Danio rerio: one gene and its partners. The protein of the gene in region 3 purifies or fractionates together with the protein of the main gene of each other region. This does not show direct contact. Links are inferred from orthologs where the notes say so. Each region holds a gene or a part of one and is shown on either strand. Other genes may lie near its edges. The genes, in order: ankrd28b, ppp6c and ppp6r2a.

Evidence for each region.
Region 1: the proteins of ppp6r2a (region 3) and ankrd28b purify together in Homo sapiens (co-immunoprecipitation; 4 studies listed by BioGRID and IntAct, counting the BioPlex papers as one, with this or other methods). This does not show direct contact. The link is inferred for Danio rerio from reciprocal best matches to the Homo sapiens genes PPP6R2 and ANKRD28.
Region 2: the proteins of ppp6r2a (region 3) and ppp6c purify together in Homo sapiens (affinity purification with mass spectrometry; 9 studies listed by BioGRID and IntAct, counting the BioPlex papers as one, with this or other methods). This does not show direct contact. The link is inferred for Danio rerio from reciprocal best matches to the Homo sapiens genes PPP6R2 and PPP6C.

Annotation. Positions count from the first base shown.
Region 1 is NC_133191.1:21,497,932-21,501,635, forward strand, and holds the end of ankrd28b (serine/threonine-protein phosphatase 6 regulatory ankyrin repeat subunit A), read left to right. Parts: exon of another isoform or gene 1-474; intron 475-580; exon of another isoform or gene 581-1,536; coding exon 1,537-1,820; 3' UTR 1,821-1,821; exon of another isoform or gene 1,822-1,994; 3' UTR 1,995-3,102; downstream 3,103-3,704. UniProt on the Homo sapiens protein: Regulatory subunit of protein phosphatase 6 (PP6) that may be involved in the recognition of phosphoprotein substrates. Involved in the PP6-mediated dephosphorylation of NFKBIE opposing its degradation in response to TNF-alpha.
Region 2 is NC_133180.1:32,608,438-32,611,392, reverse strand, and holds the end of ppp6c (serine/threonine-protein phosphatase 6 catalytic subunit), read right to left. Parts: intron 2,456-2,955; coding exon 2,246-2,455; intron 1,556-2,245; coding exon 1,307-1,555; 3' UTR 649-1,306; downstream 1-648.
Region 3 is NC_133179.1:20,679,804-20,683,462, reverse strand, and holds part of ppp6r2a (serine/threonine-protein phosphatase 6 regulatory subunit 2a), read right to left. Parts: intron 2,785-3,659; 5' UTR 2,748-2,784; coding exon 2,521-2,747; intron 1,325-2,520; coding exon 1,138-1,324; intron 1,048-1,137; coding exon 910-1,047; intron 154-909; coding exon 88-153; intron 1-87. UniProt on the Homo sapiens protein: Regulatory subunit of protein phosphatase 6 (PP6). May function as a scaffolding PP6 subunit. Involved in the PP6-mediated dephosphorylation of NFKBIE opposing its degradation in response to TNF-alpha.

The DNA of each region.
Region 1 (3,704 bases), on a different chromosome or scaffold from region 3:
GTACGATTTTTAACTTTAAAGAAATAGTTTGTTTTTTTTGTTTAATATTAGAGATGCAATGTTTTAGTGTTTCTTGTATATACCTAGATGTTGACTGCATGGACATTACCTATGAAAAATGTATTTTATATTTATTTTGTTAATGCAAGGATGCATTAAATACTGCCAGAAGTGACTATAAAGGCATTAATAGTTACAAAATATTTATGTTTAGGATATTATATTTATAAATTATTCAGTTAAAAATAGCTTTGAAAATAGCTGCACAAGTTAAAACTTTAAATGATTCATAAATGAAAACTTAGGCCCACTTCCAATTCTACCCCTTAGCCCTTCCCCTTACCCAACCTCTCATTTTGCGCATTCACGTCAAGGGGTAGGTGTGTCCCAATTCTCTTTAGCTTGAAGGCCCAGGGGAAGAGGTGATTACACCTTCGAATGAAGATTTTTCAGGAACACACTCTAAACCAAGTGGTTAAAAAATTTCCTCGAATACCCCAGCCACAACGGCATATAGTTACACCCTGACGTAAGATCTACAAATTAGTATAAAACAGACGCTAAAATTAAAACCGCTAAGTTTTGCAATCTATAATCCATAATCATAACTCCTGTTTAGCAGTTCCACAACATTCTGATACTCGATAACACTCAAATACTCTGTCAGAAAAGTCTAGTGGCTGGGAATTGGCTTTTTACGGTGTCTGCTATTATGTTATTGTTAAATGCACATTATTACGGTCTTATTGTCACATTGGATTGTTATGATAACATAATAACTTGCCTTCAGTGATTTCCCGAAGATAAATACCAATAAATAACTCAACTGGAATAACTACAGCAGTTGCCATCGTCTGATCTCATATGAAGCAAGATATTGCGATGACATATGATGACGTGTGCAGGTGCAGGTGCTGTAGTGCTTGCCCAATTCTTAGGAGTACATTTTAAATTTTAGGAGGGGTGCAAAAATAGAATTGGGTCTTAATCTCACAGTGGTCACTCATGTTCAACCCTCCCAAACCGCAGTGTTTAGAGGGAAGGGCAGGTTCAAGTTTTCCTGGGTCGGCGACTCCTATATGACGATGTTTTGTATCTACAATAACATGAAACGGCAAAACACATTTGAAAACAAGATGATTCGTATAAACAACAAGGAGTCAATTTAACATTTCTGGGAATGTGTCTGTTAATTCATTGGTCTGTCTACAAATTAAGGCCAGCATGAACTTAGAACTGTGTTACACACTGCATGGAATATAGTTATAAAAAATCCATAACAGGGGCTCTTTAAGTACAGAAGTTTTTTTTTATTTTTTTTACAAAAATATGAGGCATTATTATTTAACAAACTCTCGTATTACTGTATTATGTTTATTACATGTATTATTTATGCTCACTGTGGTATGTTTATTGTCATATTTTTTGTGTTCACAATTTCAAATTAAAATAGTAAAAATTTGATTGAGAAGAAACATTATTTCTATTTGATTTGACTATTTCATCTGTTCCTATTAATCTTTATTACTCCCTAAGGCTACACTCCGGCCCTGGCTTGCGCTCCTAACAAAGATGTGGCCGATTGCCTGGCGCTCATCCTGGCCACCATGATGCCAGTTTCTCCTGGCGGAGGCTCGGTGCCCACGCTCACATTCAGTGCCATCAACCACTACACCAGCCCCACTAAAAGCGTCACCTTCGACAGCCTACCAATGCTCCGCTCCGAACACAGCTCCTACTGCAGCTTTAACAGCATTGGCCGCCACGACGGCTTCTACAAGGACGAGGAGCTCAACGACTCCGACTCAGAGACTTACTGAGGTAAACAAAAGCAGAGGCGCACATCTTGTCTTAATTACCCAGCGGCCGGCCACTCCGCAGAGCCTTAAGAGTCTCTACACATACACACACACATACACGTGGCGCAGCAGGCTGGCCTTCCTCATCCATCAGCTCAACCTCTGCCAATGCATCTTGCCCTATGTAAATTTTAGGAATAGGTGGACGGACCTCCAGATGTGGCAATAACAAGACAAGGAATCAGCAGCCTGGGGACCAATATTTTTGCACAGGATGGTTTGACACTGTCGTATTGCAAACACGGATTCATATATAATTTTTCAGATCTTGAGGGATAATTTAAATCAGTCGCTTTAAAAAAACAAAACAAAACATAACTGGGACATTTGTGTGCTTTCAAACAGTTTTCAGTCGGTGTGCACTTCTGATCAACTATTGGGGGAAAGAAATGATTTATTTTTTAAACAAACGTGATTTTAATACCTGTCTCTGACCCTCTCGAAGGGGGAAAACAAATCGAGTAGTTTCTAAAGCGCAAAGGTGAAATTTGAGGATATGAACATCAGCGTTGTGTAATGCTTTCGGCCACAAGCATGAGTTTAAAACAAAACAAAAAAAACAGCTAACACCTCTCTCCATCTTCAGTTTTAGGATAAATTATTCTTTTTATCTATGGTATTTATTTTTACTTTCCGCATTTCATCATCATTTTGTGCCTTCATAAATTACTGTATGGAGGGAAGGGGCAGCTCGAGAGAACAAATTCTACAATGCACAAGAAGTTCAACACTACATCTGTGAAAAAAGCACTGAAAATGAAAGGCAAACGGCTCCCAGCATGCTTTGCTCCAGGATGAGGAACACTGTGTAAAAACCAATGGTAGAACAGCATTTGATCTCTTTGTATGTTGATATATGAATATAAATATATATTATATTTTTTCTGGCTCTTATTAACATGACGTTTTTTGAGCAGGTTTGCTCGCTTTGAATTAGCAAATGAAACCACTCGATACTTCTGTGATGGCCTGTCAGAAAAAAACCCCTGTGTTTGTCTCTTTTCATGCTTTTGAGTTTTGGAATGATTGAAACTGGAAACCTGTTCAGTACAGCTTCCCGTCTGAGAGGGGGGCAGCAGAAATCTGTTTGCATCGCTCTTCTTTTATTACCAGTCTTTTTTTGTGGAAATAAAGGAGAGTGATTGGTGCAGTTGATGGCCACTGCTGTCCTTCTATTCGGAACAAGAGATTCCTGTATATTTTATGGTTGATTAAATAAATAAATGAGTTCAGTAATTTGAAATTGTTGTTGTTGTCAAGTCCTTAAGAAAACGGTACAGAACAAAAATGAAATAACCCGTGGTGGAAAGAGTACTGAAAAATCATACTCAAGTAAAAGTACCATTATTTGCCTAAAATGTCGTGCAAGTAGAGTAAAATCATCTGTTGTATAATTACTCAGATTATGAGTAAAAAGTAGACTTTTCAAAAGCACTCAAGAGTAGTGAGTATTATGCTGTAAAAAGCTGATGTGTTTACATGCAAGTTGTACGTGTGTGTGTCTGTGTCTGTGTCTGTGTGTGTGTGTGTGTGTGTGTGTGTGTGTGTGTGTAAATGTAACATTCTTTAGTGCATCGAGTTCTTGCCCAGCAGGCACACAACATCATAAGTCATTAATATTAGGTAAGATTCCAGTTGTGATGTCAGGTGGCCAAAATTCAATGTCTAGTCAGCGTCTAAAGACGTAATTTTGATGTCTAATAATGACGTCAAATGACGTTGATATTTGGTCGATTTTTAGATTGTTAGAAAGTGGCCATAATCTACCGTCAAGTCAACATCTTAAACCAACGTCATATTGACGACAAATACTGACATTTATTCGTCAGGTATGGCAACTAAAAT
Region 2 (2,955 bases), on a different chromosome or scaffold from region 3:
CCATCATAAAATCTTTTAAGTGGTAGTTTGTCTGACTGACTTATCTCAGTTGTTAACTTGGGCAGTGTTTGCCTTTTCCCCTAGCGTATTACTCTGAGTGCAGTACCCCTAAAAAAGTCAGTGATCTGAGAGCCAACCTGAGACTGATGTAGTTCAGAGCAGCTTCTTCTGTTTCAGCTCCTCAAGAACGGCGTCTCCGGGTAGCGCGCGCTTGTAAATCTCTCCCCGACACAAATCTAGACATCCAGTGCGGTGGCGCACCGTCATTTACATCCAACTCATTCAAATCACCCTCCCAGGGAAAAGCAGGGAGTATCTGCCATTCGGCATCTGCTGCGGTCGACGGTTCAGTCTGGCCAGTTGAATTTTCATTGACTGTTTTGTGGCAACCCGCTCAAACTAGCGTGCTTGTCAGATTCCCTCCGGTCTGTTAGTGACGTTCAAGGTATTTCATTGGTTGGCTGCGGTGTCAATCTGAATACAACTTACACTTTGAGGCGGGACTAGCGTAGAACTGCCTTCCACGGTTCTGCCTGTTGGATGGACAAGGGAGGAAGGCGCGCCTCCCTATGGTGTGTTATTTTAGTGCATTTAAACTTGTGTGTGTAATTAAATATTTCGATTGATTAGGACACAACACCAGAAATGTAACTTAATAATAAAGGCGTTTATTCTCAATATTTAATTGGTAAATGGGCTGCCGTTTTCTACAATAATAAAATACAACAAATCTGAGAAAAAAAAGTTGATTAAATCAATACAATTTATATTAATGTACAAAATAATCACAGCCTTCTTTGTCCTGTTGTCTAATCATTGCTTCAACCCTTTTCAACACTTGAAAGCTACGAAAAACAAAAGTGTCTTTGTCTTGGAGAAATTGGGAGCAAACTGACCAGAACATAGCTGTTTTAGTGACTCTCTTTCTGGTCTGTGCTCTGAAAAACACAAACACCACATTGTTCTGATCAGGCGAGGTGTTACACTATAAATGCTTGTCATTAAATGGTCAACGGCTCTTAGGTCTACATTTAAAAGGCCTGCAAGTACAGCATGGGGATGTTCACTTCATTACGCTCACATTAACAAGATTATACTGACCGAATAACGACCAACTTAAAACATTTTCAACAGGGTTCAGAACTGTAACCATAGTTTTCTGTTGTTATTATTGAGAGCACTTCCATCTTTACAAAAATATTTGTTAAAAAAAAAAAAAAAAGCAACACAGAGAAAATAAAGACAATAAAAGAGCTCATGACAACCATGAAAAGGAGAGGGCGAGACATAGGCAACAATGAAGACCTCAGAGGAAATAGGGTGTTGTCGTTCTCGGTGGTATGACTCTTTCTGAGTCAGGAACGGCCCGGAATAACTTGGGCTCCCGTGTGTTGACGTCTTTGAAGACCATGATGGAGGCAATGTTACCGCAGCGGTAGCAGTAGTTTGGGGCCGACCAGACGGTCACCAGCTTCTCATCAAACATAAATTTGTAGCCCTCATGAACCAATTGATGTGCACGGCAAATCAGCTTCAAGTTGTTGATGTGAACAAACTTTAACAGAAAAAAACAAATAAAAAGATTTAGGTTATGCATGAAGTGAGGTTTTTACTTTTACTACAATCTCAGACACTGTGCACTAGAATGTACATGCAGATGCCAACTACTAAGTCTCCATCTTTATTACTTAGGCAGTGAGTATGAGCCACACAAAAACTCAGTTTCTGCATAGTTCAAAGAAAATTGACAAGGCATGGGATGATAAGCAGTTTCAGGGTTTACCATGGTTTGATTTTAAAACCGCTAATATTTACTGTCGTACCATTTCTAAGGTATATGCAAGCTTTTTTTAAATGTTTTTTTTTTTGTGTTTTGTAAATTAATCTGTGTTTTTGAAACATATGAAGAGTGCAGAGGTCAATGGTGCATTTTAATTATTTAGCCTGACATGTTTAGTGTTCCAAAATATTATAAATGTCTACTAAAATTAAATATTTTGTGTTTAATACGGCAAAAAAAAAATTAAAGTTAACTTATTTTAAAGCAGTAATCGCAACAACGTGAAACAGTGGTATTTTTATCCAAGTTTATCGTACCGTGCAAAACTTATACAGGCCCATGCCTAGAATCAACAAATAATTAGCAGACCTCAATCTGTAATTACAGAGCAATAGTATCTTCCATAGGGAAGTGTTATAAAAGCCAAAAACAAAGCAGACTGTGCACTTTGAGAGCGATTTTTACCTCATTAGTGACCTTAGCACCAAACAGCCAGCCAGCTCCTCTTGGACTGATAGCCCAGGTGTCCACGTCCTCTGGGTCGGACCAAACAAGGTCACAAAATGCTCCCTTGTGAGGGATCTCCTGATTGCGTTCAATGGTGCGTATCTGGTCCAGAGTTTTGATGTCAGGTGAAAGGCCACCATGTACACAAAGGATCTGCTCATCTATCAACTGTGGGAGAAACAAACAACAATTATTAGATAATTGACAAGTTAAACTAGCCAATCGATATGATTTTTAGTTTGAAGCACTGAATATATTGCAACCATTTTATGCTAGTTCTGCAATGATGTATTGCAACAATAAATAATATCCCGAATCTGTGTAATTTATGTACACAATTGAAAAAGATCAATTGATTTGTTTTTAATTCTATAAACTACTAATGACAGTTCTTTCCATTTAAAAATAAAAAAATATTCAGATTCATAGTATCAAAAGCCATTTGAAATAACATTCATAATCAATAAATCCATTGTATGTACATGCTACAGAAGCTACCTAATTCATAAAAAAAAAATAGAATCAACTACAACGAACCAACTGTCTGTTGTTCTCTATTAGGTAATATCATGTTCTCTACTTGAGCTCTATACCTCCCCCAAAAGCATACAGACACAGTGTGATTGGCTGTGCCTTTCCCTGCTGTCAAGTAAGTGGCTGCTACTGTA
Region 3 (3,659 bases):
TTTTCTTGGTCTATTTCTTTAAACTTTCATAAGTAAAATCATATGGACCGGTGGTAAAAAGTTCAGCAGAGTGAGTGATATTTGTACCTCTTCATCTCTCCCCGTGTGCATTAGCTCTGTGAGTCTCTGGATTAGTCTCTCTTCATTCAGCCACTGCAAACACAAATTCATTGACTGATTAGTTACACCCCAGATGACATGTGAGTGGGGATTTAGCCAGAACTCGGAGGAAACGATGAGGTTCAATGTGGGTCAATGTCTCATTTAAGCAACTGAATTGCTTGATGTTCTTTAAAGGTATCATTTTTAAAGTAAGGTCAATGTAAAAATATTTTAAACAAAATAAACATTTATAATATAATATCATTTATACAACAGTTCTGTCTGGTTCTCAAATCTGATTGGCTGATAGCCGTGCGATATTCTGCAATATCAGAACTCCTACAGCCTCTTTACCCTTTGTGTATTACTCCGCCCACATACAGCCAGCAAAAAGCAGACACTACAGATCTAAAGTTTAAAAGATGCACGCTCAACTGTTTAACTGTCAGCTTATGATTTGAATCCGGAAGAAAGTGGTTCCTCATACAAAAGGGTTTTTGAGACTCTCCATGTTTGATTTTGTTTTTATATACATAATTATGCCGTCAAACTGTTGTAAAAACGCAATATCACACTCGCAGAAGTGTGATATGGTTGTATATCGGCACTGGTGGGGGCACTAAGCGCAACGCACACCTCCCACCAGTGCCGATATACAGCTATATCGCACTGCTACTCGTGTGATATGGCTCATACATAACATATATAAATATTTGTTGCTCACAAGAATTAAGCTTGCAAGTGGTCTCTTAAAAAAGCAGAAATATGTTCATTCTCCTTAATATCTTGCAATTTAAGCGTGCTTACATTGAGGACCTCCATCCTCAAGGGGGCAGGCTCTACACAGCTGATGAGGCGCAACAATAGGTCCATCATGGCAGAGGCATCGATGTGATTCAGCACCAGACTGATAAAGTTGTGTTTTTTCCTTAGGAAAGAGATTACCTGCAAGCAGATCAGCAGAAAACGTATTAAGCTAATTATACAAACCCCAGTATTACTGTTGCACTATTTGGTGTGTTCATGTGTGTGTACCTGGTCTGTTTTACGTGCAATCAAGTTGCCGATGGTTTTGCTGAAGAAGGAGGCCAGCAAAGGATTAAGAGGGGGCTCCTGCTCCAGAAAATGGTAGAGCTTCTCCAAAAGGGATTCGTCTCCACCCAGCTTATCATTGATAAGAGCCACATCAGAGGTCAGGAGCTCACAGGCAATGTTTGGAAACCTGGATAAACAGAACCAAAGAAAGAAATCTATATTATATACTGATACATGTGACAATGCTATCAAAAACAAATGCAACAGTCTATGGTGACTTGGCTTTTAACTAAACAAACAAAGGCAGTTTCTGAGGTTCTAATGAAGGCAACTCAAATTTAACAAAGTTGCTCTGCAGAACTACTTATCTTCTGTCTCTCAGAAAGCACTAAAGTAAATACCATCCAACTCAGTGGTGCAGTGCTGTCAATGCCGCAAGAGAGGGTTATAAACTCTGCATCAGTGCCTTATATTGTGGAAATGGTAAATTTGACCAAAAAAAAGAAAAGAAAAGAAAAACCAAGTGAGAAATCTAAATCAGTGTTGGCAAGAAGATATTTCAGTCAATGAAATAACATTTCACAACACTTGGAGAGAAAAGACGTTTTGAGTGAATCCACTTGCTCATTTCAAGACAAATGATTCTGCCTCCTACACACAGAGAACCAAATGATTAGTTTTAAATGAACCGTAATCTTTTTCTCTCACTCTAACCATATGGTCCCAACAGAAAGTGCTAAAACAGAGAGATTTCAAGCCATGAGATTACTTCACATATTTTATGTTGAACAATACAAGTAAAACACAGAAACTCTTGATTTAAAACACAGAGTCTGAACATTATGCAGTTGTTGTTACACATCAGTTTTTAACTCAATCATTTCTCTTTGACATTTCCATTTCCATACATTTGCCAATTGAACATTCCCCTCTCCACTTCTCTGCTCTTCTACATCTTCCCTGTCAATTTTACAGCCCTCTCGTAACCAGGAGCTCCAAGCACGCAGTGCTTCCAGTGAACAATATGTCCTACCGTTATAATTCAGCAATTCTCAGTAGCAGTCTGGATAGTTTTTCCTGCCAGGTAGACTATAGTTTGCTTGCAGTGAATAAACACGCAAGATGTAACATTAGTGAATTATCTGCAAAACGTCAAAGGAAAAAAAAAATGCACCACCCTGTTATTAAATTATTTTTAACCAATGAAATTTTGTAGAGAAAATGAAACGTGACAGAATCCCTAAACTTGAATGTATAATAATCATAATGGCACTTTTCCAACAGGTGTCCTGCACACTTCCCCATCTGTTTACGTGAAACTCATATCATTGGTTAAACCTAATCTGTAATGTCCACAGCCAGCCAAACTAGTTTCTTTCTTACTTGAAGCGAGTTTTCTCCTCCAAATCAGCAGGAGGTTCCTCAGTGATTAGAGTGACAAGTTCCTGCATACAGTGATCCTTGGAGAGGAAGAGCAGGAGCTTGCGGTTCTGTGCTTTGCATTCCTGCAGAACATCCTCCTCTTCCATCAACTCTCTCAGAGTCACGCCCTCTCGATCCAGCAGCTGGTCAATATGGGAGGTGTTGTTCAGGTCAAACTTCCAGAACATGATGGCGGTGGTGGCAGCTGCTGCAGGAAGCACAAGCCTGAAAAAGAGAAGGAAAGAAAATGAAGATAACAAATACAAGTGAAGGATAATGCAAAGTGCACAGGGACATATATATCTTTTTAAAATGAAATCTCTAGCAATAGAAGACAGTCTCAAAATGAGACTGCAAAAAGGGGTCGGGGAGAGCAATTCAAGGTGGCTGATTCACTAATCGAAAGACATAAAGAATGGTTTAATCAGTTTGCACCATTTACAACTGCTTTTAAGATGTTTATGTGAAACATTTTACGTTTGTCCACATTTGGGTGAGGAAAAATGTTATTAATATTTTATCTTTCTTAATAAAATAAAATTGAAAAAAACAAAAGGTTTAGATTTGTGTTGTATTTTTAATTTAAAGATTATCTGAAAAAGATAAAGCACTCTGATTCAGTTGAGAACCACTGATGTAGAGTGTTTCAAATCAGTCCCTTATGAAGATCCATGATGATTAGAAAGCTTCCCTAAAAAAAGCAGCTGTCTATGAATTCAGCCTAACAGGTTTGGAACCAAGTTCCCACTCCCAAAGCGAGTGGGAGGGGGGAAGAATTGTGATGGAAAGCAGAACTAACAGATGAAAGGAAATCTGGAGAATAAAAGTACAAGCAAGGGGAGAAAAATAATTGATAGACCTTTAAAGCATCCAACTAACACGTCCCACTAAAAACAAAACATGAATCAACAGGAACATGAAGAGCAACTTTCTTTAAGTACTGATTGAAATCACCTGTGCTGTGAAGATTTTCTAACCACTCTGGTCAGACCTTTCCCAATAGATGACTGATACCCACGCATAACACCCTGGGCGATACATTTCACACAGTCTGATAGGCCTCACTTGCTCAAAGAGATGTGATCTGTTAGTAAGCCTAT